Linked DNA regions of Canis lupus familiaris. The protein of the gene in region 5 purifies or fractionates together with the protein of the main gene of each other region. This does not show direct contact. Links are inferred from orthologs where the notes say so. Each region holds a gene or a part of one and is shown on either strand. Other genes may lie near its edges. The genes, in order: ETV4, ETS2, MVP, TRIB2, COP1, ETV1 and COPS6.

What was found.
Region 1: the proteins of COP1 (region 5) and ETV4 purify together in Homo sapiens (affinity purification with mass spectrometry; 5 studies listed by BioGRID and IntAct, with this or other methods). This does not show direct contact. The link is inferred for Canis lupus familiaris from reciprocal best matches to the Homo sapiens genes COP1 and ETV4.
Region 2: the proteins of COP1 (region 5) and ETS2 purify together in Homo sapiens (affinity purification with western blotting; 3 studies listed by BioGRID and IntAct, with this or other methods). This does not show direct contact. The link is inferred for Canis lupus familiaris from reciprocal best matches to the Homo sapiens genes COP1 and ETS2.
Region 3: the proteins of COP1 (region 5) and MVP purify together in Homo sapiens (affinity purification with mass spectrometry; 3 studies listed by BioGRID and IntAct, with this or other methods). This does not show direct contact. The link is inferred for Canis lupus familiaris from reciprocal best matches to the Homo sapiens genes COP1 and MVP.
Region 4: the proteins of COP1 (region 5) and TRIB2 purify together in Homo sapiens (affinity purification with mass spectrometry; 4 studies listed by BioGRID and IntAct, counting the BioPlex papers as one, with this or other methods). This does not show direct contact. The link is inferred for Canis lupus familiaris from reciprocal best matches to the Homo sapiens genes COP1 and TRIB2.
Region 6: the proteins of COP1 (region 5) and ETV1 purify together in Homo sapiens (affinity purification with mass spectrometry; 4 studies listed by BioGRID and IntAct, counting the BioPlex papers as one, with this or other methods). This does not show direct contact. The link is inferred for Canis lupus familiaris from reciprocal best matches to the Homo sapiens genes COP1 and ETV1.
Region 7: the proteins of COP1 (region 5) and COPS6 purify together in Homo sapiens (affinity purification with western blotting; 3 studies listed by BioGRID and IntAct, with this or other methods). This does not show direct contact. The link is inferred for Canis lupus familiaris from reciprocal best matches to the Homo sapiens genes COP1 and COPS6.

What each region holds. Positions count from the first base shown.
Region 1 is NC_049230.1:19,589,861-19,594,274, forward strand, and holds the start of ETV4 (ETS translocation variant 4), read left to right. Parts: upstream 1-1,602; 5' UTR 1,603-1,646; intron 1,647-1,865; exon of another isoform or gene 1,866-2,054; intron 2,055-2,176; 5' UTR 2,177-2,227; coding exon 2,228-2,287; intron 2,288-2,468; coding exon 2,469-2,562; intron 2,563-2,764; exon of another isoform or gene 2,765-2,790; coding exon 2,791-2,838; exon of another isoform or gene 2,839-2,967; intron 2,968-4,414.
Region 2 is NC_049252.1:33,537,938-33,540,805, forward strand, and holds the end of ETS2 (protein C-ets-2), read left to right. Parts: intron 1-39; coding exon 40-255; 3' UTR 256-2,298; downstream 2,299-2,868. UniProt on the Homo sapiens protein: Transcription factor activating transcription. Binds specifically the DNA GGAA/T core motif (Ets-binding site or EBS) in gene promoters and stimulates transcription.
Region 3 is NC_049227.1:18,042,524-18,046,936, forward strand, and holds the start of MVP (major vault protein), read left to right. Parts: upstream 1-1,467; 5' UTR 1,468-1,623; intron 1,624-4,413. Other genes in the region: PAGR1 (PAXIP1-associated glutamate-rich protein 1), read left to right, coding at 716-915. UniProt on the Homo sapiens protein: Required for normal vault structure. Vaults are multi-subunit structures that may act as scaffolds for proteins involved in signal transduction. Vaults may also play a role in nucleo-cytoplasmic transport.
Region 4 is NC_049238.1:9,260,560-9,264,209, forward strand, and holds the end of TRIB2 (tribbles homolog 2), read left to right. Parts: intron 1-2,827; coding exon 2,828-3,296; downstream 3,297-3,650.
Region 5 is NC_049228.1:23,215,965-23,220,210, forward strand, and holds the start of COP1 (E3 ubiquitin-protein ligase COP1), read left to right. Parts: upstream 1-1,381; 5' UTR 1,382-1,707; coding exon 1,708-2,129; intron 2,130-4,246. UniProt on the Homo sapiens protein: E3 ubiquitin-protein ligase that mediates ubiquitination and subsequent proteasomal degradation of target proteins.
Region 6 is NC_049235.1:28,726,839-28,730,488, reverse strand, and holds part of ETV1 (ETS translocation variant 1), read left to right. Parts: intron 1-204; coding exon 205-273; intron 274-1,881; coding exon 1,882-1,950; intron 1,951-3,650. UniProt on the Homo sapiens protein: Transcriptional activator that binds to DNA sequences containing the consensus pentanucleotide 5'-CGGA[AT]-3'. Required for olfactory dopaminergic neuron differentiation; may directly activate expression of tyrosine hydroxylase (TH).
Region 7 is NC_049227.1:9,446,764-9,450,907, reverse strand, and holds COPS6 (COP9 signalosome complex subunit 6), read left to right. Parts: upstream 1-1,274; 5' UTR 1,275-1,299; coding exon 1,300-1,423; intron 1,424-1,644; coding exon 1,645-1,770; intron 1,771-1,963; coding exon 1,964-2,095; intron 2,096-2,422; coding exon 2,423-2,511; intron 2,512-2,600; coding exon 2,601-2,663; intron 2,664-2,969; coding exon 2,970-3,017; intron 3,018-3,094; coding exon 3,095-3,209; intron 3,210-3,302; coding exon 3,303-3,395; intron 3,396-3,487; coding exon 3,488-3,588; intron 3,589-3,694; coding exon 3,695-3,835; 3' UTR 3,836-3,953; downstream 3,954-4,144. UniProt on the Homo sapiens protein: Component of the COP9 signalosome complex (CSN), a complex involved in various cellular and developmental processes.

The DNA.
Region 1 (4,414 bases), on a different chromosome or scaffold from region 5:
GGGTTCAGCTAGTGTCTAGTGTGCACCACAAGTAAGCAGGGGACAAATTCAGGCTCTCCTCAAAGGAGTGTATGCACTGTAGATCCAGAGAGCATCTCAGAAAGAAGGCCTGGGGGGTACTTCATGTCCTGTGTGCCCGCATGACTACAGCCTAAACAGCCCAGCTCTTATCAGGTGTCTGCCTTGGTCACAGCTGCCTCCTGGGGGTACCCAGCACTGTGTCTGGCACAATAAATGTTTATTGACCAAACTGGTGAATGACTGAGGGACCAGAGCCTATGACCAGCTCTTTTTTTTTTTTTTTTTTTTTTTTTTTAAGGTTTTATTTATTTATTCATGAGAGACCCACAAGGAGAGAGGCAGAGACACAGGCAGAGAGAGAAACAGGCTCCTCGCAGGGAGCCCGATGTGGGACTCGATCCCCGGACCGGGATCATGCCCTGGGCCGGGATCACACGCCCTGAGCTGAAGGCAGACGCTCAACCGCTGAGCCACCCAGGAGTCCCTGTGACCAGCTCTTTAACTGAGTCCCACCCCCAGGTCATCAGATGCCTTGGGGCTTTTCTCCCTAAGATCTTATGTTTGCTCTGAAGATTAAGAGGAAAGATGGCTGAGCGGGAATTGCGCTTTCAGAGGTCCATGCGGGGCCCTCCGGTTTCTGCGGCAATCAACAGAAAGTGGGTCACAGAACAGCTCCGCAGAGCAGACCCTTGAGGAAAAGCCTGGATTCCGTGCTAACTTACATTTATTGAGGGCCTACTGTGTATCAGTTGTTGTCACAAAGCCTTAATTCATTTAGCTGTGGCCTCAAAGAGCTGTACGGGGGGATGTGGGAGATTGGGGGCTGTAAACTCCAGCTGCGCTGAGTTACCGCAGCCAAGTCACCACCCTTCCCTGAGTTTTCCTTCTCAATCTCTGTAAAATGGAAACAATAGAATCACTTCGCCAGGTTATGGGAATGAAATGAGCACGTGGAAGCGGAGCGCTTCATAAATGCTAGTTATTATTGTTCCTCTGGGCACAAGTCCGCTCGCCTCCCCGCAGGGCGCACACACAGACATGTTCACACTCCCACGTACACGCAGATGCAGAGACGTGTGCAGACGCCAGCCGGGCCAGCCCGAGGAGCTCGCCGAGCTTCGCACAGGGACACGGCGGAGCCCCGCGAGGAAGCCGTCGGGCCCTCGGCTTCGCTCCTTTTCTCTCAGCTCTTTATGAATGAACTCAGGCCGCGGAGGAGTTTATTTTTTTATGAATGGGAGCCCGAGCCGTGAATGAAGCCGGGAGCCAGCCCCTGCGTTCTGATTGGCCCCCGCCTCTGGGAAACTCCGCCCCCCCACGGCCCGGTCGGGCGAGTCTCCGGATTGGCGGGCGTGCCCGGCCCTAGGGTTTCATTCACAAAAGTCAATGAAACAAAGGGAACGGGGTGGTGGGGGGGAGGTAAGGGAGCCGAGGGAGGCAAGGAAATGCACCAATCAGCGGCTCCCCCGGGCTCACAACTGTCGGCGGCGCCCGGAAAACAAGCCGGTGCGCGGGGGACCCGGGGCCGGGGCCGCCTCGCTCCGGCCTAGCCCCGCGGCCCTCGGTGAGGCCCCGGGGCCAGCTCGCGACCCCCCGCCGCTCCAGCTCAGACGCCCCGGCCTCAGGTGAGGCTGCGGGAGGGGGAGGGAGGGAGAGCGTCCGAGACTCCTCGCCTCGCCGCCGACACACGCTGCGCTCTCTAACCGCCGCCTCCGCAGATTCTAGGGCGGGCGGGGGGGGTGTGGGAGGCGCTGGGATTCGGGGTTGGAGGGGGCGCGGGAGTTGTGGGCGTGCGAATGGTGCGCGCCTTACCCGCTCCGCGCGCGAGCGCACACGCACACACGCACACACACACACACACACACACACACACACACACACACGTCTTATGTAACCGAGCCTGGGCAGAGCAGGGCTGCAGAAAGCAGCCGAATCGGCGAGCCCGGCGCCCAGGAGCAGGTGGGACCTCCTTTGGCGGGAGGGGAGTGGTGACGGCGCTCAGCTCGGCAGGCGGAAACCTCCCCAGCGCCTGAGTGAGTCGGAGAAGTTTTGCTGTCGGACCCGGAGCCCCGGACTGCCCCTCCCCGCTGCCCTTACCCGCCCCCACCCCGCTGCCTTCCCTGGACGGTGTGCGAACGCAGCCCCCCCTCCCCAGGTCTCTGCCCCCGCGCGGGGCCCGGGCGGTGCGGCCGGAGGGAGCGGCCGGATGGAGCGGAGGATGAAAGGCGGATACTTGGACCAGCAAGTGCCCTACACCTTCTGCAGCGTGAGCTCCGCGCCGGCCTCCACGCCCGCCCCCGCCCTGCACCCCGCCCCCCCAGCCCTGCCCTGCGGCCCCAACGGGGCCCAGCGCTGCCCGGCCTCTGTGTCACCCCGGGACCCCAGCCCCGCCCCCCAGGCCGGGGGGCCTCAGGGTGACCCGGGGGCATTCTTCCCCTTCCCCGCAGAAATCGCCCGGAAATGGGAGCTTGCGCGAAGCGCTGATGGTCCCGCAGGGGAAGCTCATGGACCCGGGCTCCCTGCCGCCCCCCGACTCCGAAGGTAAAGAGCCGGAGAGAAAACCGTGACCCTCCTCACTTCACACGCCCCGAGGGCCGATCCTGGAGCCACCGCCCTGTTCCCCAAAAGACTCCCCTCCAAGGGACTCTTGATTATTCTTGGGCCCCTACCCTCAAGGAGTGTGTGTGGGAGGGTCACCCGGCTCTCTAGGGCTCCCTCCCTCTCACCATCTCCTTCATCTCACCTCCAATTCCATTATTCACTCCTCAGATCTCTTCCAGGATCTCAGTCACTTCCAGGAGACGTGGCTTGCTGAAGGTGAGTAGTTTTGTGACCTTTTCTATTATTGGGGTGGGGGATGCTCTCTACCCCTGATGTTCCAACCTAACCCACTTCTCTGTCTCTGCCCAAAGGAGCTCTCCAAGGACCCCCCCCAGCCCCCTTACTCCCCTCTCTCCCCAGCGCCCAATGTGGACACTTATATTGATATTTATTTTCTCTGCCCTGAGCCAGGCTTGTGTAACTAGGCCTGGGGATGAATCAGACCATTGTGTGGGGTATTTGCTTATTTGAATGGAACTTGGCCCCAGGCCCGTTTTCCTGGTTTTCCTGGTTGAAATTTTCATTTGCAAAGTTTGTTTGGCTGCAGCCGCCAGGCCGAGGTGTGTGTTGGTGTGTTGGGTTGGGGAGGGGGGCGGATAAGGGACAGGAGGATGAGGAGAAAGAGCAATTAATTTGTAACCTATCTTCAGGAGCTGCCAAAACATTGATTTTCACCCCCTTGGTTTCTCTTCTTCTCAACCCCCAGGGCTAAACAATTTACTGTCTGAGCCAAAAGCACAACAAAAGTTTAAATAATTCTTTTTTGCAGCGCTTTGGCAGAGAGGGCCCTGGGCTCACCCCTCGCCCCCCCCCCACCCCCACATATCCTTGATTGTAATTCTGATGGCAAGTGATCCTCCCTCCTTCTCTCCCGAATACCTCTGCCCCAGGCAAATTCCCCCTACTTTGGCTTAGGGTATTTGCTGGGGGGTTAGCCATGAGCTGGCTGAGGTGGAGTCTGGAGTGGGGCCTCCTCTGGATAGGGAGCTGTGTTCTGAGGGTCTTCTGGTTGGATCCCTTGGTGCGTTTTGGTGGGGCCTCAGGGTGTCGCTGGTGGGGTGGCAGGTAGAAGGCTTATGTTTAGACAGTCTGCGAGGGAAGGGTTAATACCCCCATCTTAGGATCCCTTTATTTAAACACTATGAAAACCTAGAAACCACTATACTAGGAACCCCCTTCTAAGGGCTTTTCTTTAGGATTTCCGTAAAGGATATCCCTCCACCTGGGTATCATTGGTCATTTTTTAAAGCTCAAACCCAGCTCCTCTGGAACCATCTTTAAAATTTAAAAGCAGGAGGTAGAAGGCAAAGACCCCTGACTAGATCCTTAGAGTAAGACCATCTGTCTTGACTACCGTGGTAACCCCAAAATATGTATATAAGCAGAATGACTATTTAGCATAGAGCAAAAGCTCAAGACATGTTGTGAAATTCGTGACCAAATGGCTGGCTATATGGGTACCGGAGGGATCTGGGGATCCGGGGGGTATTGCACACGCCTTCCCCGACTCTGCAAGCCCTGGGCGTCCAGCTCTGAGTTAGGTACAGAGTATATACCCAGTCTGCCCATCCTCCTCCCGAGGTTCCGGACCGGGCTGGAGCTGAAGAACGCAGAGGTGTCAATTTCCACGGTCTCTCAAAGACTTCCTTTCCCAATGCCTGATTTCTCTCCGGCTTGCCAGGCTTCTTGTCTGTCAGCGGAGGGTCCCTGTGCTTCCCACAGTGGGCAGCTCCCAGGGCTGTGATGTAGGGGTGGGCTGAGGTTGGCATGTTGGCAGCAGCTGGTCCATTTT
Region 2 (2,868 bases), on a different chromosome or scaffold from region 5:
AATCGCACATTTGGACGCTTTCCACCCGTGTCCGTCCAGGTGGCCCGCCGGTGGGGAAAGAGGAAAAACAAGCCCAAGATGAACTACGAGAAGCTGAGCCGCGGCTTGCGCTATTACTACGACAAGAACATCATCCACAAGACGTCGGGGAAGCGCTACGTGTACCGCTTCGTGTGCGACCTCCAGAACTTGCTGGGGTTCACCCCCGAGGAACTGCATGCCATCCTGGGCGTCCAGCCGGACACGGAGGACTGAGGCCCCCCCTGTGCTGCGCCGGCAGCCCCCCGACCCACCGACTGCTCCAAGGACCCTGAAAGGCGGGATCGCACGCGTCCAGGAAAGTCCCCACGAAGCAGTGGCCTTATTTCCTCGGAAACCGCGCTTTTTCACCCAAAGCAGCATGGTTTCCCACTTCTAAAGCCTGCTGACGGGAACACACTATTTATGATGCTCTTAGAATGGCCGAGAAGGAAGCGCTGGGAAGCCGTCCTGGCTCCGAGCAGGCCGCGCGGCAGGAACCTTCAGGCCGTTGGATATTCTCCAAAGGAGCGAGCGAGCATGCCTCGGGCACACGTTTTTTTGTTGTTGTTGTTGTTGTTGTTTGTTGCCTTTTTTTTTGCCTTTGGCAGCCAGGAATCACAAAGGCAGAAGTGGTCTCTTTGGTTCAGCCAGGCGTGCCATTTCAGAAGTTAGTTTGTATATATGACTGTAACCCTAATAATTGTTGTCAGAATCCTCTCAGAGTCCTATTTAACGAGAACTGTATATTGTAATTTAAAATAATTCTGCAAATGTATTTGAAATGAGAACGCAGACGTCCGGTGTTCACTGCGGTTTCCAAGAGCACCAGCAGCGTTTTGCAAACAGTCTGCCAGGCCAGACGAAGAAGTTGTAAAGTCTGTATTATTTACATTTGATATGCCTACAGGTATACGTCTAACAGGGTCAGTCCCTGTTTCTGTTTTGTTTTGCCCAGATTATTATCTGGCAAGGACTTTGTACATTTGGGAATTTTTATAAAAACACTTAATGTTATTATCTGGAGGCGCATCTCGCCTCTGCTTTCTCCTTAATTGTAATGTAAAAGCTATAAAGCAGTATTTTTCTTGACAAATGGCATATGTATTCCATTTCCGTGCATGCCTTTAAATCCGTTTCTACACAAAACTTATTTTATTTTTTAGTTCGACTGTGTTTCCCCAACAACTAACCTCCCCGACCAGCCATTTCCTTCCCGGGTTCCACCTCCGCGCCCCAAATTATTCTGTATGATTAAAATAAGAATGCTATTTTTGGAAATAATGTGGCTCCTTTTCAGAGAGCAGGAGGGATTTATGTAGCAGCTACTTTTACTGCAGAAGTAATTCACTGGAAAAAAATGTAATTTGTAAGAAAGCTTTATTTTTATCTGCGTCCCGTGTGAAGTTAAACATATTGTACTGGGAGCTGAAGCCTAGGGCAGGTGGGAGGCGGGAGGGTGATCTTCACGGAGAGGTCGTGAGCAAAACCCGACTTGTCCTGTCCTTGCTCACCTGGCGAATCGTGGGCTGTCCGGACACGATGCTACTCCTGTATGCGCAGTACCCACAGCTCCGTGTTCTTGTTTTCGTGGATGCAGAATGCCCAGAGGCAGAGAGAGGACAAGCAAGATGGGAAAGAGAATCCACTGGAGGATTTGATGTGAGAAAAACGTTTTGCTCACGATGGAGAATTTTCATGGTGGTTTCGAAGGAGCCCCCTGGGTGGGCGTGCATTCGGGATGCTTGGAAATGATCAAGTCATCCTGGTTTCAGAGCCAGACGGGCTTCACCTGCAATGTGGGAGGGCACTCGGAGCAGGGGCTGGTGTCCCTAGAGGAGAGGCCATCTGTGTAATAAGGCTGAGAAGCTGGGTGGCGGGGCCTGCTGAGAAGAGCAACCCCGGAGCTGGGGGACCAGTCGCTCAGTACCTACACGAGACCATTTCCAGGGTCTAAGCACAGGATGTTTTTCTCAAGCAGGACATGTTTATCACTCAGACATCTGTTTATAACATCAACAGACATGTGACTGGGAACATCTTGCTGCCAAAGGGAATCTTAGCCATTGGCTCATTTTATATGGGGTTGAACCACATGAAATTGCCAATATTTGACTTTTTTTATCTACAAAGTTGGCAGTTTCATGTGGTTCAACCTAATAGTTACAGAAACTAAAGCCCATTATAAACCTTTGGTGTGGTAATGAACAGACTTCAGTATAAAGATTTTGTAATCTGGCCTTTTCTTTCTCAAATAATAAAGTATTTTGTTTATATAAATGCTTCCTTGTAAGAATCCTCATTCATCCCACCCCAACAGGGAGGAGGGGAGGTGGAGTGAGGATAGTGAACCCTGATCCACTGTCCATTTAGCCAATTTTACACACAGGTCACCTAGTAAATCATGACCAAGCTACAACCAACTATAGCTCTTTCTTAAGGACCCCAAAAAGTGTTCCCTTAAATCAAAAAATTCTTTAAGAAGGGATTAGAATTTAAAAAAAAAAAAGGGGGGGGGATTAGAATAGAAAGATACAGGCACCTTGTCTTTGTTGGGGGATTGGCAGAGATAACAGAAGAGTTTGTAGGATGCTTATGTGAGGAACCCCGTTAGCATTCGAACTTCAAGGACTTTCTTCAGGATGCCTGACATGGCTGAGCTGACTTACCAAGAGGTGAGAGTGATGGTCCTCGGAGATGGGTTCTCAAACACACTTCAGAGTCCATCAGGATGCCAGCAAACAGGTGGGTTATATCAGAGGTGTGCTGGAGTCCCTCCCCACAGGCGGGTGAGAACAGGTCCCTTCCCAACTTTGTATCAGTGACATATTGGTACCTTGAATGTGATGG
Region 3 (4,413 bases), on a different chromosome or scaffold from region 5:
TCCCAGCCCAGAACCCATCCTGAGGGGTGGATCTCACAACCCTGAGATCACAACCAGAGCTGAAATTAAGAGTCAGAAGCCCAACCGACTAAGCCACCCAGGCACCCCCAAGCCATCATTTCTTTTGCCTGGATATTTGCCATGGCTCGTAACTGGCCTCCCTGCTTCTCCTCAGCAACCAAAATGATCCTTTCAAAATATAAATCATGTCACTACTTGGTTTAAAATTCTCCAAAGGATTCCATTGTTGGGGGAAAGAGCATATCAAGAGGGAATCCAAACACCACAACTCCCCCTGACTTTTTTTGGGCCGCCAAAGTTTCCAAAGATAATTTATTTCCGTTTGACCTAAGATATCCAAACTTTCATCATGGCCTCAGAGTCGTTTCTTGAGCCACAACTTTCCTTCTCCCTGCCATACCCCAGCTCTCTATACCCTTTGAACAAACCTCCCTGTTCCTGCTCTGGGGCCTTTCCACTTGCTCTTCCCCTGCCTGGATATCTTTACCTTGGTTTTCACATTACTGGCTCCTTCTTGTAAGTCAGCCCTTTACTGCTTACCCCATCTGAGGCCCAACCTCAAATCCTACAACCTCTGTGACAGAGACCTGAAAATCTCTGTTTAATGAGCTCCCTAAGCAATGAGTAATATGTAGGCAGGTCTGGAGCACAGCACCTCACTCCCGTCCACATTTCTTACCTTCCTCTTCTCCAGGAAGTTCCGCCCGGAGCCAGAAACGGGAGGCCCGCCTAGACAAGGTCCTCTCAGACATGAAGCGACACAAGAAGCTGGAGGAGCAGATCCTTCGTACTGGCAGGGATCTCTTCAGCCTGGACTCAGAGGACCCCAGCCCCACCAGCCCCCCGCTCCGGTCCTCAGGGAGCACACTCTTCCCCCGGCAACGGAAATATTGAGTGTTGTTGCAGCCTTTAGCGTGCAGAGCTTATACCTTCTGGGCTCTCCTTCCCTAACTCTGGGCACTGGGAACTGGGCAAGAGGAGAGAGCTCCCAAGCTCCCAACACCGCACCTTGCCAGAAAGAGGACATGTGTGTGTATTTATGCTTTCTGTTGAACATTTATTTGGAGACCTGGGCTGAATTTTTGGAATCTAGAATAAAAAAAACACAAAGTTATTTTCTCCTAGAGGGTGGGCTGCAGCAGGAACCCAGTTCTGGAGCAGCCGGATCAGGATCCTAGTCACTCAGGTGGGGAAATGAAAATTAAAGCCACATGGGACAGAGATGAGCTCAGCACCTGCCCCCAATTCTCGTTCCAGTGCTGCCAGCTGGCTCTGAGGCGGGACCTTCCTGAGGGCTGAAAGGGCTGCAGTGCCTTCAGCTGCCAGAGGAGCCGCCCATAGGAAAAAAAGGAGACAAACAGCTGCAAGGGCTCTTTAAATGGCCAAGCCCCACCCCCAAGCTTGCCCTCCTCTGTCAGGAAGTGATCCCTGGGGTTGGGCCAGGGAGTTCCCCCATCTGAGGGATCTGTGGCAGCGGACACCCTTCCGGGTATACTTCGTACTGGTCCTAAACACCCCTAAACCAGTGGTGGGGCCTTGTGTCCCTCCAGGCTCTCTGAGCCTGGTCCTGCCTTCTAGGGCCGCTTGCTTCTGCCGGGGCAGGTAAGACCTCTCTGACCCTGAGGAGGAAGAAGGTGGGTGGAGGCTTACGTTCCTTGTTGGATTTTTTTTCTTTTTTCTGTATTTTGAAAGTAAAGGTTGGTCAACTTGTTACCTTGCCAACACTCCCTACCCCCCAAAATCTCAGGCCTCTCGACTTCAGGGGCTCCCACATCAGAAGTAAGGGCCAGAGGAAAGTGGGTCCATTTATACTCCCTCCTGGGTCCCTGCTGTCTGCTCCCCCTTGGGGCTGGCCTGGGCTCTGGCCTGTCCTCTAGAGCCTTTATTTATTTTTTAAAGTTTTTTTTTTTTTTTTTTTTTTTTTTTGTTCATGAGAGACAGTGAGAGGCAGAGACAGGGAGAAGCAGGCTCCATGCAGGTTGCCCGACGTGGGACTCGATCCCCGGACTCCAGGACCACGCCCTGGGCCAAAGGCAGGCGCTAAACAGCTGAGCCACCCCGGGATCCCTCTCTTGAGCTTTTAGAATGTGATTTCTCCCTACCCCTGCCCCCGGGATCCTTCATCTCTGCCAAATGAAGCTTTCCTATTGCCTCACTAAAGGCTATGCCAATGTGGGACCATGTGGGAAGTGGTTAGGAAAGCAATTTGAGGTAGGCTGGACTTCTAGAAGGTGTGGGGGTTGGTTGTTGAGCAAGGCTCTTTTTCTCTTTGGGAGAAATGAAGGAACCCAAAATTCCTTTGGGCTTGCCAGTCTGTGATTGTGGACATCTTAGGGTTGGCTCTTCTTGAGTGAAGTCTGGAGGGGTGGGAGACAGTGGGTTGAGACAGATGTCCCTGTGTTGTCTGCTCCTTGCCCTGGGGGGACCCTGGATTGTGAGGGGGAAGCCTTCTGTTACATGGGGTGCCAGCCTGTGTGCTCCCTGGGAACTCCTGCCTGTTTCCGCCCTTGGCACACAGGCCTGACCTGGGGTGAAGCTTTCTGGGCGAGGCAGCTCTCCAGAGGCAGGAGCTGGTAGAGGAGCCACCTTGAGTGGATGCCCCTTGACCCCCCCACCCCCACCCCGGGCTCCAAGAACTTGGGCCTCCTTGTTTGTTGGAGGCTACCTGCAGCGCCCCCCCCCCCCCCCCGCCCCCCGCAACTCCCTCCCTGGTCTTAGGTCCCTGTTTTGTGCCAAGAAGCCAGGCTACTTCCTGGTTTGGGAGCTCTGCAGGTAGGGTAAGAGACAGGATTCTGACCCTGTCCTTTGACCGTTGTGCAAAATTCCTTAACTTCTAGGTTCCTGTGAGGATTAGATGAATGAGTTAAAAGGCACACAACACCTAGCACAGGTTAATTCCTTAATAAGTGGGAGCTGTTATTTGGGGGCTCTTGCCAAAGATACATGTTCCGGAGCCTCCTGGAAACTCAGCTGGTCTGGGTGAGGCCTGGGAATCCGCATGAACAGGAGCAATGCTCTCAGCTGGGTCTTATGATGGAGTGAGCTTAGAAAACACTGATCTGGATCAGGAATTGTGAAGCCTGGTTCCTGGGTCACTTCTCAACTAGGCAATCATTGCCTTCAGTGATGAGCATTAATTAGTGTCCGGGAGATAGGACAAGAAGCATTCTGAGCTGGCAGATGTGTTGTGGCTCCAGTGAGGCCACCAAGCTGCTCCTCCCACAAAGTAGTTGGACTGGAGCTCAGATAAGTCTTCCCTAGGAAGGAAAGTTCCTAAAACTTTGCTCTTACACAGTTGTGGTCAGTATGAGACAAGTTCTCAAAAGTCCCCTAAAGCAGAAAATAATTTCCCTAAACTAAACCAGCGTATAAACATCTGTGCATAGTGAAGGCTTCTGGCCTTCCCCAAAGTCTAGAATGTTTAAAATCAGGGAAACTGCAATAATGAGCCCTTGTTTATGCTAGGCATCGTGCATTTTCCTAAACCTGAGGTTTTTTTTTTTTTGTTTTTTTTAAATTTTTATTTATTTATGATAGTTACAGAGAGAAAGAGAGGCAGAGACACAGGCAGAGGGAGAAGCAGGCTGCATGCACCGGGAGCCCGATGTGGGATTCGATCCTGGGTCTCCAGGATCGTGCCCTGGGCCAAAGGCAGGCGCCAAACTGCTGCGCCACCCAGGGACCCCTAAACCTGAGTTTGATAGAGGTGATAGTGGCAGGCTGGGCCACCGGCCTCCCCTCCAACTTCAGGCTGCGTGGGGCAGGGGACTTGCATTGGCTAGGGGGTCCCTGGGCCTGGCAGTGGATTGGGCTGGAGGTGAATAACCAAATGCCAAATGCCCTGCCCTTGAGGAGCAGTCTGTAATCTGAGCTTGTCTTTAAATCTCCCTCCTTCCTCCCAGCCCCCTACTTTGAGCCTGTGCACTAGAGATACCCTGTGGCCACTAATCTCTTCAAGCCCAGGAAATAGTCCCTTTTCTTTCCACTTCTCAGTCTAGGACACTCCGGCTCAGAGTTAGCAAGTGGCCCAAGATAATGAGAGTTCAGTCCTTGCTGTGTATTAGATTTAGTGGGGAAGCTTTTAAATATAGTAATGGTCAGGATGCCCGGATGGCTCAGTCTGTGTAGCCTCAACCTTTTTTTCTATTTTTTAAAAGATATTTTATTTAGAGCAAGAGAGAGCACATGTGCAAGCGGAGGGGCAGAGGGAGAGGCAGTCCCAAGCAGACTGCACTGAGCTTTGAGCCCAATGCAGGGTACCATCTCACGACCCTGAGATCATGACCTAAGCCTAAGTCAGGAGTTGGCTACTTAACTGATTGGGCCACCCAAGCTCCCCTACGTTGAACTCTTGATCTCAGCTCAGGTCTTGATCTCAGGGTGGTGAGTTTA
Region 4 (3,650 bases), on a different chromosome or scaffold from region 5:
GCCCATTGGAGCCCTGTGACACTTTGGGACAATAGGGTAGAGGCTATGATGTGCACTTTTGAGATGATGGAATCAACTGGTCTGAATGACAGTGACCTCATAGGCCCTTGTAGGGCCTGCTACTCTCTGGGCTACCCTGACTCCAGCCCCTCATCCCTGCTCCATGTCATCTTCGTGGCAAGCCTTCATGATGTGATGGAATGGGACTGAGCCTCTGGGGTTTAACGTCTCCAAGAGCTCTGCTGTTGGAGGCTTCCAGCAAGGAGAATAGGACGATTTCCATTTTAAGCACTGAAGGGTCGCAATACTTAGCTTTCCACACAGGGGACGGCAGACCAGGGAAATGGGACATCTTGGGAGGCCCCTGAGCCCAGGAGAAATGCTGGTCTCGGAGCTTCTGGCGCCGGGTGGGGGATAGTCTTCAGTCTTGAGCAAGTCACGTTGTGTCCTAGTCCTCAGCTTCGTTCACTTGTAAGTTAGTATAGTTCATTTTACGAGTTTAACTTATGTCCCTAAGTATTTACTGAGCACTTATTTTTGTGCCCAATGGTCATATCAAGCCCTGCTGGGTGAGGATGAGTGCTGGACCCCAGAGTCTCAGAAGTCGGTGTGGAGTTTCTCTGCCTCTGTTCATGCGTGCCTCCGGGAGAGCCCTGGAGCCTGTCAGCTCAGTCGTCCTTCAGTGGCACTGGGAAGATTGACACACATACCCCTGCACACACATAAGAGAAACCAGTCACCTACGTCTTGACACCTAGAGGTCGAGGTTACAGGTAAAACTAAGGCAGATCGTTATCAGGACAAGGACCAGCCCCTGGGAGTGTGACGGGCCAGACAGGAGGCAAGTTCAACAGAAAATCTTGGAAAGAAGAAGGGCTTGCGGATGCCCTGGGTGGGTCAGCGGTTGAGCCTTCGGCTCATGGCGTGATCTCAGAGTGCCGGGACCAAGTCCTACGTCGGGCTTCCTGCATGGAGCCTGCTTCTCCCTCTGCCTATGTCTCTTCTTCTCTCTCTCTGTGCCTCTCATAAATAAAATCTTTAAAAAAGAAGAAGAAGAAGAAGAAGAAGAAGAAGAAGAAGAAGAAGAGAGAAAAGAAATACGAAGAGCAGAAGAGAAGAAGAAGAAGCACGAAGCAGAAGACGACGAAGAACGAAGTGAAGACACAAGAGAGAAGAAGAAGAAGAAGAAGAAGAAGAAGAAAGGAGAAGAAGAAGAAGAAGAAAGAAGAAGAAGAAGAAGAAGAAGAAGAGAAGAAGAAGAAGAAGAAGAAGAAGAAGAGAAGAAGAAGAAGAGAAGAAGAAGAAGAAGAAGAAGAAGAAGAAGAAGAAGAAGAAGAAGAAGAAGAAGAAGAAGAAGAAGAAGAAGAAGAAGAAGAAGAAAGAAGAAGAAGAAGAGAAGAAGAAGAGAAGAAGAAGAAGAAGAAGAAGAAAAGAAGAAGAAGAAGAAGAAGAAGAAGAAGAAGAAGAAGAAGAAGAAGAGAAGAAGAAGAAAGAAGAAGAAGAAGAAGAAGAAGAAGAAGAAGAGAAGAAGAAGAAGAAGAAGAAGAGAAGAAGAAGAAGAAGAAGAAGAAGAAGAGAAGAAGAAGAAGAAGAAGAAGAGAGAAGAAGAAGAGAAGAAGAAGAAGAAGAAGAAGAAGAGAGAGAAGAAGAAGAAGAGAAGAAGAAAGAAGAAGAAGAAGAAGAAGAGACGAAGAAGAAGAGAAGAGAAAGAAGAAGAGAGAAGAAGAAGAAGAAGAAGAAGAGAAGAGAAGAAGAAGAGAAGAAGAAGAAGAAGAAGAAGAAGAAGAAGAAGAAGAAGAAGAAGAAGAAGAAGAAAAGAAGAAGAGAAGAAGAAGAAGAAGAAGAAGAGAAGAAGAAGAAGAAGAAGAAGAAGAGAAGAAGAAGAAGAAGAGAAGAAGAGAAGAAGAGAAGAAGAAGAAGAAGAAGAAGAAGAAGAAGAAGAAGAAGAGAAAGAAGAAGAAGAAGAAGAAGAAGAAGAAGAAGAAGAAGAAGAAGAAGAAGAAGAAGAAGAAGAAGAAGAAGAAGAAGAAGAAGAAGAAGAAGAAGAAGAAGAAGAAGAAGAAGAAGAAGAAGAGGGGCTTGCGATGAAGTTGTCAGCCTTGGAAGGGCTTAGTTAATAGTAATGCATTCCTGTAGGAACATTCCCCAGCTTTGCCTATGTCCTACAGAGAGGCAGCTTGGTAGTGGCGAAGGAGCAACAGGTTGACTAAGGAAGGTGTGGGGCCAAGTCTTCTCTATTTCCTAGTCAAAAGGCATTGGACAAATTACTTAAACTCCATGAGCCTTGATGTTCTTACCTGTAAACTGGAATCCTAAAATCTCAGATATCTAACAAAAGGACTGTTATAAAGCCAAAATGCCATTGAGTGAAAGGTCATTTTAGAATGTATCATGTCAACCAGAAGCTGGCCAGGGCTATGGAAAGAGCTACTGGGAGCTTCCCAGTTGGTTGGGTCTGAGTTCAAATCCTGTGAATCCCCATCACCCCCTAGATGTATCTGAGAATAGTAGGAACCTCCTAGTTCCTCATCACTGAGATGGGGCCATAATCATGTCATTTATGGTCTATTTACTTGCTGGAGGTGTGGGTCCCCCAATAGCTCTTAAGCTTCATGCAAATTCCCTGTCACTTATTCACTCCTGGGCCCCCCCCACCATGGAACAGGGTCTGGCACCTAGAAGGCCCTCAGTAAGCTGTGTTTGGCCAACCAGGTTGAATGAATGAATGGATGATCTCGGAAACATTAGAGCAGAAGCAATGACGCTGTGATGAGATCCATGTGTGTCAGTATACCTGTAGGAGCTCACGCTGTCCTCTCTCTTGCAGGACTCGGGTCAAGCTGGAAAGCCTGGAAGATGCCTACATCCTGCGGGGGGATGACGACTCCCTCTCCGACAAGCACGGCTGCCCCGCTTACGTAAGCCCGGAGATCTTGAACACCAGTGGCAGCTACTCGGGCAAAGCAGCCGACGTGTGGAGCCTGGGCGTGATGCTCTACACCATGTTGGTGGGGCGGTACCCTTTCCATGACATTGAGCCCAGTTCCCTCTTCAGCAAGATCCGGCGTGGCCAGTTCAACATTCCAGAGACTCTGTCACCCAAGGCCAAGTGCCTCATCCGAAGCATCCTGCGGCGGGAGCCCTCAGAGAGGCTGACCTCGCAGGAAATTCTGGACCATCCTTGGTTTTCTACAGATTTTAGCGTCTCGAATTCAGGATATGGTGCTAAGGAAGTGTCTGATCAGCTGGTGCCGGATGTCAACATGGAAGAGAACTTGGACCCTTTCTTTAACTGAGCTCATGCCCCACAGAGACTTAGCAGGTACCAGGAGCGAGAGAGGGCAGTGGAAAGTCCTTCCAGAGGACACGCATCGCCTGGCTTGGTAGCAAGAAAGACACTGACACTCAAGTTTCTCGGTTCAAAGAAGGAGAACCTTCAAGGAGCTAGCTGAACATGTAGCAGGGGGGGCGAGAGATGTGGGGTGGGGGTCTGGGGTCGGGTCAGTGCCCCTGGAGCTCCTCTTCCCTGATGTAGCCCCCCGGAGACCACCCCTGTCAGTTGGGCTGCTTCCGCCTACCCCACTTTTCATTTGTTCCAAAATAGTTGCAGATCCCGACAGAATCAAAACTCTCTGCCTCAGACACACATC
Region 5 (4,246 bases):
GGCTGATGTGGGGATGACAGCCTTTTGATGGAACACTGCTCAGATGAATGGCTAGGTCTTTTTGTTGGGCTTTCATCAGGGCCCCTCTGGTTCAGTTCATTCAGCATGGATAAAGGTTCCTAGGGAAAGGTCTTCAAAGGACAGAATTAAATCTGGGATCTTGGGCAGCCCGGGTGGCTCAGCGGTTTAGCACCGCCTTCGGCCCAGGTTGTGACCCTGGAGACCCTGGATGGAGTCCCACGTTGGGCTCCCTGCATGGAGCTTGCTTCTCCCTCTGCCTGTGTCTCTACCTCTTTCTCTCTCTCGCTGTGTCTGTCATGAATAAATAAATAAAATCTTTAAACAAAAATAAATCTGGGATCTTTCCCTCTAAGAACCACAGGACGAGGATTGGAAAAGAATACCGAAAACAACCCAGTTGTTTCTAATTTACATCACCCAGAATCTTGGGGAGTCTCAAAATGGCAAATGAAGAACCTGTATCCAATTTTCCGTATTCCAAAAAGCTACCAGAAATTACACATTTCTTTTCTTTTTTTCGTGGTATTAAGCGCCAGGTTTCCTTGTTTTGTGGTAGAGGATATCAGATCCACATTAAACCGAGATTCTGGCTGAGCCGTGGTCAGATCAGATAGAACTGGTTTTCTCGTCATCGTCATGCTTAATTTGGTAAATTCATGTTTCAAGATGCAAGACAGCACGGTCGGACCAATAATAATCGATAACACTTGCTACGATGTTTGCAATTTACAAAGCACCGGTGACTGACTTCATCTTAATGGACTCCTCACAGCCGCGTGGAATGAATGGCTTAACAGCAGGGCCCAGACTCGTGGAGGGTCAATGCAGGGCTCTTCTCAGCCGCTCAGAGCCCCGGGTCTTTCCCGTAGCGTCCACGGAGGCTTCAGAAGGCGACTCGGAAGCACCTGCCATGCCCGGGCCGCGGGCTGCAGCCGCGTCTCGGCCTTCAGGAAGGCGGTCGCCCCACGCAGTGCTGCAGCCGGTCCGCGCCAGCGCCGCTCCGAGCGGGGGGCCGCGACCCGGGCGGCAGCCAGGGTCGGCGCCCAGAGCGCGTGCGCAGTCGCTTCGGCGCGCTCCCCTCCCCGCCAGCTCCCAAGCGCGGGCGCCACCCTATCATTCATTCCCCTCTCCGCAGCCCTTTCACCCTTTGGGACAGCCCCACCCCCTCCCTCCCTCCCTCCCCTCCCCCTCCCCCTTCCCCCCTTCCCCCCCGTACGTCACCCGCCGCTCGGCTGCGGACGAGCGCAGCCCGCGTTGCTAGGCCGCCGCCGGGGGCGCGCCGCGCGCGTCCCAGCCGCCCTCGAGGTTGTCTCCGCCGCCGCTCCCGCCCCTTCCGCCGCTCGCGCGCGCGCACGGCCGGCCCTCGGCGCGCCCCGGTTGGCTGCGGCGGGGCTCGCGGCGGTGGCGGCCTCGGCGGCGGCAGTGGTTTCTCCTCCGCTGTTTCAGTTTCCTCCGCCCCCTCCTCCCGTCGGACGCGGCTGTGTGCTCGCCTTAAACAAAAAAAAAAAAAAAAAGAAAAAAGAAAAAAAAAGATCAACTTTATTGTTCCTCAGCCCCACCTCCCGGCGCGGCGCGGCGCGGCGCGCGGCCTCAGGATGCACTGAGGTTGAGGGGAGGTGAGGGGAGGGAGGCGGCGGCGGGTCGCGGTCCCTCTCCGAGCGCCCGGCCGGAGGTGGGGGAGGCACGATGTCCGGGAGCCGCCAGGCCGGGTCGGGCTCCGCCGGGACCAGCCCCGGCTCCTCGGCGGCCTCCTCGGTGACTTCCGCCTCCTCGTCCTTGTCCTCCTCCCCGTCGCCCCCTTCGGCGGCGGCGGCGGCGGCGGCGGCGGCGGCGGCGGCGGCGTCCGGCGGGGCGGCCCAGGCCGCGGGGTCGGGCGGCCTCGGGGGCCCGGCGGCGCGGCCTGTGCTGGTGGCGGCCGCCGTGTCGGGCAGCGGCGGCGGGGCGGTGTCCGCGGGCCAGTCTCGGCTCAGCTGCGCGGCCAGGCCCAGCGCCGGCGTGGGAGGGAGCAGCTCCGGCCTCGGCAGCGGCAGCCGGAAGAGACCTCTGCTCGCCCCCCTGTGCAACGGGCTCATCAACTCCTACGAGGACAAAAGCAACGACTTCGTGTGGTGAGTTGGAAGAGCATCGCCCTGCCCGCCGCGGCACGAGGAGTTTGCGCGGTGTGGGCTGGCGGGGTGCGGCGGGAGGGTGGTCTAGGTGGTGCCGGGGCGGCGTCTGCAGACCCTCAGGCCGGCGGAGGACGTGGGGGTGACTGCGGAGGCCCGGGCTGCTGGGGAGGACGTGAGGGGAGTCCAAGGAAGAATTACGCGTCAGGGGGCCGAGAAGGAGGGTCGGGTAAATGGTGGTGCGTAAACGGGGAAAGTTGGGCCTTGCTTTTTTTTTTTTTTTTTTTTTGTTTTGTTTTTTTGTTTTCTGGTGAATTTTCTGCTTTCTGGTGAATTCGACACCCTGTCGGTCCGGATTTCTTGTTGAACTTGTAAAAGGAGAGGATTAAGCTTCCTGGGAGGCCGAGGGACGGAGTTGGTCAAATTTGCTTATTGGAAGTGTGGTAGATGGTGCTCCAGACGTGGGTATGGATATTTTAAGGAGAAGTAGTATTTCATGTCAGTATCCCTCGTGTGTGTGTGTATAAATATCCTCCCACTTCAAAGGGTAGGCCACTTTTAAATCTGCTGTTGAGGCTACTGTAGTCATAAAAATCTGTTCACAAAAATTTCCACTTGTCACTAAATGCCTTGGACGCGAGGGAACCACATTTATTCAACAGCATCCATGTGTCGGATGTAGCTGTACTACATTTGTGTAACAGGTTACAGTGCCCTGGAACTTCCGATCTGAGGAACGCCAGGTAGTAGACACCTTGTCATCATAGTTGGCATCTTGAACGATACACAGTAGTATACCGTTAGGATGTCTGGCAGAGTTGGGTTATCTATATTAAGTGAGAGATGGAGTGGATTGTCTTGCTGGAAGTGTTTTGGGATTTCTCATTGGGTTTTTGTATCCAGAACCCAATCCAAACAGTAGGAGTAGGAGAAAGGAATTGCTTCTAGTTAAGTGAGAACGGGTAGGATTTTGCACTTTTCTTTTGGAGGAAATTGTTGATAGACTTAGAACATGAGTAGGAAGTTGGCTTGCGCTGTCATTATAGGGGAAGTTGATTTACCTCAGGGTTGAAGATGATGTGAGTTGGCATCATTAAGTAAGATTGGGCTACACGATGGAACTGTAGGAAAGATAATTGATTAGAGTTTCTAGGTCTTGCAGTAAAATTATCTTCACTCCTATTTCTGCTTTGGTCTTACATTACTCTGGATTGAGACAATTAATTCGTTTCTCATTGAAACTTGGCTATAATTGTTATTTATAAATAATTTAACTAGCTTATGGGTGGGTCTAAGAGGTGTTTATGCTCATACCCAGTAAGTAGGGTGCCATATGATGAAGTAGAAGCTGATGAAACAAAATGAGGATTTTCAAAAATTCTCTTTCTCTTTTTCTCTTTCTTTTTCTTTTTCTTTTTCTTCTTCTTCTTTTTTTTTGTTTTTTTAAGATTTATTTATTCATGAGAGACCCGGAGAGAGGCAGAGACACAAGCAGAGTGAGAAGCAGGCTACCTGCAGGGAGCCTGATGTGGGGACTCCATCCCAGGATCCCCGGATCACACCCTGGGCTGAAGGCGGCGCTAAACCGCTGAGCCACCCGCGCTGCTTGGATTTGTCTTTTTAACCACCATTTGCATTTTAATTAATTAATTATTTTATTTTATTTTTAAAAGATTTTATTTATTTATTCATGATAGACATAGAGAGAGAGAGGCAGAGACAGGCAGAGGGAGAAGCAGGCTCCATGCCGGGAGCCCGACGTGGGACTTGATCCCGCATCCTCAGGATCGCGCCCTGGGCCAAAGGCAGGCGCTAAACCACTGAGCCACCCAGGGATCCCCACATTTTAATTTTTAGAGGGTTAAAAGAAAACAAATATGCCAGCATTCCTATAGGTGCACTGAAATAGTAGTGAAGATGTGAGAAATAAGAGAATCAATAATTTATTCAACAGATATTTATTTGGCACAACTGTCTGCCAGGCACCATGAGTTGTATATTGACTATTTTGTAGGGAATTAGAGAGCCATAGGATAATATAAGCAGTTGGCATTGGTTTTTGTTGTTGTTGTTGTTGTTCTTTGTTTTTGTTTTTTGCAAGGAGGGTGTAGTGGTGGTGG
Region 6 (3,650 bases), on a different chromosome or scaffold from region 5:
CAAGTTGGATGCTTAACAGACTGAGCCACACAGGCGCCCCTCAGCTTTCCATTTCTTGTGTGGGCCCTGCCTGAAATGTTAACTGAGTGTTGACAAGTTCCCTTCATGGAGATTCATGTCAGTTTCTTTTATTTTCCCACTGCTCTGTCTATTGATAACATTTTCAGCTCCAAACTGCTCTTTAACTGATGTTTCTTCTTTCAGAAGTGCCTAGCTGCCACTCCATTTATATGAGGCAAGAAGGCTTCCTGGCTCATCCCAGCAGAACAGAAGTTAAGTTTTTATTACTGAAATTCCTTGTAAATATGATCAGAATAATCAGATGTACCAAAGATGCAGTCATTTGATTAATCATCATATTTTATGTTCCCTAAACCACTATTAAAAAACTTTATCTTTTTAAAGTAAAAGGAAGATGTTTCAGTTCATGTTATCTTGAATTTGGTTAACAGGAGTCATGTGTGTATAAACAGCTGAAAAGTGGATTTCTGTGGGGTTTTTTTGTTTTGTTTTTTGGGGTTTTTTTTTGGCCAACAACCACATTCTTTTAAAATAGAACATGTGCTTTATAGATTAGCCTACCTTCCTACTCTCTACTGAAATGTATCTTCGAGGAATTTCAGTTTTGCTTTACAGACCCAAGTCTGTGTTTTGAAATAAAAGAGAGTAGTTTTAAATATATTTGCTTTTAAATATCCTGGATTTTTCATTTTTATATAAGTAATTGCTAGAATGGAATTTCACATCAGAGACCTACAGAAGGAGTTTTTGTGGATGTGTTCATGGTAATCACGTGGGAAAGCTTTGATCTAACGGACTTTGATAACCTACAAAGTAATGAATAATCTTCTTTAGATACATTCCCTATTAAGGAGTTTCTGGAAATGTGTGCATAGTTCATGACATAAACGTTCTGTGTCCTCAGGAAGATGACACAGATGCATCTTTTTAGGTTAGGTCTAATACTGGTTATTTTGTATAAGTGGTATCGATAGAAGTAAATGCTTGTCTTTAAAGAAGAGTATATAATAAGCTGGTAAGTCCAAAATATTTGGGACCAGAAATTTAGCAAAAATGCAGTGCGATTATTGTCACTACTGTTGTTAATATTATGCACTCACTGTAGAGACCAGTACATCTGAGAAAGAAAACTGTGGCTAAAGTATATGAAATTTCTTACTGGTGATTAAGGACGACAATGATTCAGTGAGGGTCACAGTCATGAATACATGGGGGAGAAAATGATTGCTAAAAGCTGTTGATTTATTTTGCATTTTTTTCCATGGACTTAGTTTTATTACAGGGAAAAAAAGCTAAAAAAAAAAAAAAAGAAAATTAAAACTATCTTGTCTGTTGAAGATGAAAACATTAGGAGGTTAACCTGGCTAAAAATTTTTCCAGGGAAGTAAGGGGTAAACAGAATGTGTTTCAGTTTATCAGGAAGTAATTGTGCAAGGTAAATACGAGTAACTCATCTTGATTTTCCTACTATCTCATAAATAACAAAACTTGGAAGAAAATGAAAAAGGAGATGATACTTTATAATTTCTAGGCTTGCCAGTGTTAACCGCTCTGTGCTTGGGTTGGTAATAATATAAATATCTGTCGTGTATCACTGTGTGCTGGGTACTATTCTAAACTTGCATATATTAAACCAGTTATTCCTCACAACAACCCTTTGAGATAGGTGATTTATCATTATTCCCATTCTATAGGTGAGGGAACAGAGACAGTGAGGCTAAACAGTGTGTCTAAGGTCACAGAGCTGAAAACTGGCAGAGTCCTTTTCCTACCCCAAGTTTTGTGCTAATGGCTATATTTTAAATTGCTTGTGAGCTTCATTTCTATCATGAATAAATGTATCCTCTTTTCCTCCCACAGGCTGTATGTTTGAGAAGGGCCCCAGGCAGTTTTATGATGACACCTGTGTTGTCCCAGAGAAATTTGATGGTAGGTTTCTCACTGTGCTTCAAGTTTGAATTTTTCTGAGAAGGAGTGGAAAGATCACCCTCGACTCCCCTGAAAACAGTTGACATCGCGCCCTAACGATTTTTATGCACATCATTTACGATGCATTTAACTCTTGCTAAACTTTGCCTTTTATAAATTCTCTCTTCCTTCCCCTATTCAGAAGCTTTTTCTTTTGTCCCATGAGAGGTCTCATTTTTAAAGATCCGACCAGAGAGTATCATTCTTGCTGAGCTTTGTGTAGAGTAAGAGGGGTCTTTCCTTTGCCCTGCAGAGCACATGCAGCTTGTTGCTTGAGATTTATTGAAAGCTGATCCCATAATTAACAAAGCAGAACAGAAAGCATGCTACTGTGGATGCACAGATGACTAATGCAGCTTCTTTCCTTTTATTGTTCATGAAAAGATGCATTATGGAACACAGGAACAACATAGCTGCCCATTTAGTTAGTGATTGTTAGTCCTTCTTTTTTGTTTTTCCTTTTCTTTCCCTGGGAAGATGTTCATTACTAATGTGCAATTACTTTGTAATTGCTTAAAATGGAGTTAGGAAAGCATTACTTTTTTTTTTTATCACTGTCTCTTGCAGTGAAACAGTCCCAGATTTTAGAAATGAGTGTCAAGTTAGAAAAAAATATTTTTTTTCCTTGACAAAGGTGGTAGAAGTCAGCATCTACGAGGAAGCTTGGGTAAAAAGTGAACAGTTAATTGATTTAGTGGTTCTTCAGAGTGGTCTCCATATTTCCTGCTTTGATTGTTTAACAGGAAATGAGCAGGGACCCTCTGATTAGCTGATTGCACAAACTTTGGGGATCATGGCTGTAATGACTTGGTAGCTCTCAGAAGTTTTTAATTGTCATTATTTAAACAGCAAAGTGCATGCTCAGATTGCTTCTCCATCTCTAATTAGTTTCTTGAAGACTACTCTGTTCCTAAGGCTTTTGCTACTCTGGTCCTTCTCAGAAAGAATGATAATTTGGGAAAGATCTGTTTCCTTAGTCTTCCTTTAAATGGCTAAATTCATTCAAGGTCACAGGGTTAAGCTCCATTAGGAGTCACTTTTTTGGCCTTATTCTAAATAGATGTTAGTTTTTTAAGCTTCGAGTTTCAGTGTGATATGTGCTATTTAGCATCATTAGCAGAGCATCACAATTCTTAAAATACAGCCTTTTCTCTTAAGACAAAGCATAAAGCCTTTACTTTTTGGAATGACCTTCATCAGTTTTTTTTGTTTTGTTTTGTTTTGTTTTTCATTCTTAGTGAGCTTAACGTTTAAAAAAACTCTTGATGACCAGAATGGGCATCTAAGGAAGAAAAAATAGCTCAAAACTACCAATTGGATTATGATATAATCTAACAAGCCTAAGTCACACTAATATTTAGGGGAGCTGTCTATCTTGATTATTTATTCCCTTTGACTACTAAATATTCTTCAATTTTGTACTAAGAAAATATTTTTTTAGAAGATAGTCTTAAATTTTATAAGGAATAGAGAGCAAGAGATTAGAAAAGCACAGAGTTATTTTTTCATTGACAAGGCTAGGATAGCCTGTCACATTTATAGGCAGAAGCAATCTAGAGATTAAAACATTTGATAGTGCTTCACTCTGCATAATTGCTCAGTTACCCCCATGAAAAAATTTGTAAGTCTCAGAAGGAAAAACTGAGATAAATAAAACTGTC
Region 7 (4,144 bases), on a different chromosome or scaffold from region 5:
TCCTGGTTGCAGGCAAAAGGGAGCCTAGCAAACTCCAACTTAATTTTATTTCGGCCACCAGGATTCTCTTCATGGACTGACATAATTCTGGATCATAAAGACAATGACCATTTGATTGAGGGTGCTGCTCTCCAGCTCCCCCACAGTGGGCTGCGTGTGCTATGGCGGGCTGAACAGTGGCCCCCAAATACAGCCAGGTCCCAATCCTTGGAACCTGTGAATGTTACTTTACAGGGAAAAAGAGATTTTGCAGATCTGATTGAAGTATGAATCTTCGGATGGGGAGATTATCGTGGATTTATGATTAAGGATCTTCAGATGGGGAGATTATCCTGGGTTATCCCAGTGGGCACTGTATATAATGCCAGGTGTCTTTATAAGAAAGAAGCAAGGAGGGGTTTTATCGCACAAGGCGATGTGACTACAGAAACAGAGGGACAAAGAAAAAGATTTGAAGATGCTGCTAAAACACTGGAACTGAAGGAAACTGGAACACATTTCCTGGTACCTGCTGGTTGCGGGCACTGGAGTGGGCTCTGCAGGCTCAAGGCACAGGTCTTCACCTGCTTTCTGAGAGCTTTCACTTTGGATGTGGCACAGGCATACACTGAAAGAACCAGCTAGACAAATGGGTAGGGGAGCAAGGGGGAGTAAACGCAGTGCACAGCGACGTGCTTGGGCGTAGGAGTGGGGAGGGGTCGGAGTGGGCTGGGTTTGTCCCAAGCGAGTTTTGAAAGGCTGCTGGAGATGGAGGATAGAGGGAGGCCGGGAAGGGCTGGAGTGCTGGGCACGTTCCTAGTATGTAGGTAATACGGTATTTGCAAGGAGGAAAGGACACGCCGGTGAACCATTCGCGACCAGGTTTCACCTCAGATTATCCACTCAGTGAAATACCTATTTAGGTCCTTGGCTGTCGGGTTGGACGCGGCAGAGGCCCGCACGTGGGCGTGGGGCATACGAAGGGAACTGCCAGGGGAGCCGGCGCGGCTGAAGCACGAGGACCGAGGGCCGGGTGGCAGGCAGGGTCCTGACCCTGCGGGGCCTTGCACGCCATGGCCCGGGCGCGGATCTTGTTCTGAGGGCAATAACGTGGTTCTTCATTAATTCTGCAACAGTCTTAGGAACTGGGCCGTTTTATCCCAGTTTTACTGACGAGGACGGTAAGGCTGGGAGCGCGCAGGGTGAAGTAATTTGTCCCAGATCTGTCACCGCCGCAAGCGCGTGGCGGACCCGGTCTTCCGAAGTCCACCCGCTCCGGGGCCGCCCGCCCCACCCGCCGAGGCCCCGCGCCCACTGAGCATGCGCCGCTGGCCTACGGAAGCCGACGGGGAGGGGGCGGGGCCGAGGCTGGCGGGCGCGGGGAAAATGGCGGCGGCGGCGAACGGGACTGGAGGGAGCAGCGGGATGGAGGTGGATGCGGCAGGTAACGGGCCTCGCGGAGGCGGCCTCTGGTGACGCCCCCCGGGGAGCGACAAGGCCCCCCTGGACTCCCGGGAGGAGTCAGCAGTCGGGACGGCGATCCCGCCCCCTGGACTAACTTGCGGGAGGGATGTATGGCTCCGGCTCTGCCGTCTCCCGCTCGCAGCTCCGGGGCAGAACGTGCGGCCCCGACGCTCACTCGTCCTCCTTTTCCTCCACCCTCAGTAGTCCCCAGCGTGATGGCCTCCGGCGTGACGGGGAGCGTCTCCGTCGCTCTTCATCCCCTCGTCATTCTCAACATTTCAGACCATTGGATTCGCATGCGCTCCCAGGAGGGGCGGCCTATGCAGGGTGCGTGCTGGGCGTCAATCTCCAACCTCCTCTCCTTGGTCACCTGCCCCAAGTAGGGGTCTTTGCCCCCGCCCTTCCTGAGGCCAGTCCCCCCTCCCCAGGTCACCGTGTCTCCAGCATTGCGTTCCCACTGACCTCGACCCAGGGACCGGATTCTTAACCCTCCTGTTTTCCGTGTCGCTCTCTCCCCCAGTGATTGGGGCGCTGATCGGGAAGCAGGAGGGCAGAAATATCGAGGTGATGAACTCCTTTGAGCTGCTGTCCCACACCGTGGAGGAGAAGATTATCATTGACAAGGAGTATTACTACACCAAGGAGGAGCAGTGTGAGAGGGGGATAGACTCGGGGGTGAGGAGTGGGAGTGAGAAACAAAGGCAGAGTGGGGAAGATGGAGAGTGATGGGGAAAAATAGGAGAATGGGACAAGAACTGTGTTTGTGTGAGGAGAGTATCACAAAGGATCTCAGAAAAGGAACAGTTTAGGTACCCACCCCCCAGACAGTAATAGATGAGAGAAGATAGAAGGGACTAATTATTGAGAACTGAGCCAGGAGTTGAGCGGGGAGGGGAGAAGCTGATGAAAAATATACCAGGAGTTTCCAATGAAGGGAGGGTGATTTAAAGAATGATACCCTGTGCTCTTTCCCCTGCAGTCAAACAGGTGTTCAAGGAGCTGGAGTTTTTGGGTTGGTATACCACCGGGGGGCCGCCTGACCCCTCTGACATCCACGTCCACAAGCAGGTACACATGCATGCTGGTGCATGCTGGGGCAGGGCTTGAGCAGGGGAGGAAAGATGGGCATTGACACCCACATCCCCATTCCCTTCCAGGTGTGCGAGATCATCGAGAGCCCTCTCTTTCTTAAGTTGAATCCTATGACCAAGCACACAGATGTGAGTAATACTGACCCCATGCCCACTTAGGCACGGTGCTGGACAAGCATGACAATCTTACCCTCCTCCCCTGCTGTGCTTTACATCTCTGTTGGGCTGAATCTTCACTTGAGGTGAATTCTCCGCTCAGCAGCTGTGTGACTTTAGGTTAATCATTTAATCTCAGAACTGCTTTTTGCCCTATGTATAAGGTGGGGGTTAGCCTTACTTCAGTGGGCCCTTGGGAAGATTGGGAAAATCTGCAGAAGAGCCAGTACGGTAGCCCAGGTGCACTTGATGTAAGAGCTGTCTCCCGTTGCTTTACAGCTTCCCGTCAGTGTTTTTGAGTCTGTCATCGATATAATCAATGGAGAGGTAATGCCCTGCCTTTCAACCCCGCGGTCCTGCTCCTTGGCCTTTCCTGCTCCTGACTCTGCTTTTGTGCCCTGTAGGCCACGATGCTGTTTGCGGAACTGACCTACACTCTGGCCACAGAGGAAGCTGAACGCATTGGCGTCGACCACGTGGCCCGAATGACAGCCACAGGCAGCGGCGAGAACTCCACAGGTAAGGAAGACTGGAGGTGTTTCCTCAGCAGTGGGGGGTGGAAAGCGTGGCCAGGTGCGTTTTCAACCTTGGCCTCTCCCTGTCTCCCCCCAGTGGCCGAACACCTGATAGCACAACACAGTGCCATTAAGATGCTGCACAGCCGGGTCAAGCTCATCTTGGAATATGTCAAGGCCTCTGAAGCGGGTAGGACAGGCGTCTCCCTGGCACGCCTACCACTTTTTCTCACTCCTGAGGGTGACCTCATCCACATTAATGCAGTCCTTCTGTGCCTTTAGGAGAGGTTCCCTTTAACCATGAGATCCTGCGGGAGGCCTATGCTCTGTGTCACTGCCTCCCTGTGCTCAGTACAGACAAGTTCAAGACAGACTTTTACGATGTGAGTCTAAAACCCAGGCTGGGGACGTGGGGTTTGTACATCATGTCTGCACGCAGGACCCGGGACTCAGACATTCCCTGGGCAACTGGTTTTCTGTTCCTTCCAGCAATGCAATGACGTGGGGCTCATGGCCTACCTTGGCACCATTACCAAAACCTGCAACACCATGAACCAGTTTGTGAACAAGTTCAACGTCCTCTATGACCGACAAGGCATCGGCAGGCGGATGCGGGGGCTCTTCTTCTGAGAGGGTACTTGAAGGGACGATGCACAGGTTGGACAGTGGTCCCACAGGGGAGGGGCATCACACTCCCTTTAGAGAAACCTCCTGTTGATAATAAAAGAGGAGCAGCCCCTCAGCACCCCTTGCAGTGGCTCTGTCCTCTCTGTTGGGCACCACACGGCTTTCTCAACTCGGATCTTGAAAGGAGGCCCTTGGTTCCAGCCTTGCTCGGCAGGACAGCCTGATTGGGAACTCTCTGCCACTTGAGGTGACCCCGTCCTGTCAGGTGGATGCATCTATACTGGGCCAAAGGCTGCCTGCTTCCACCCAGGC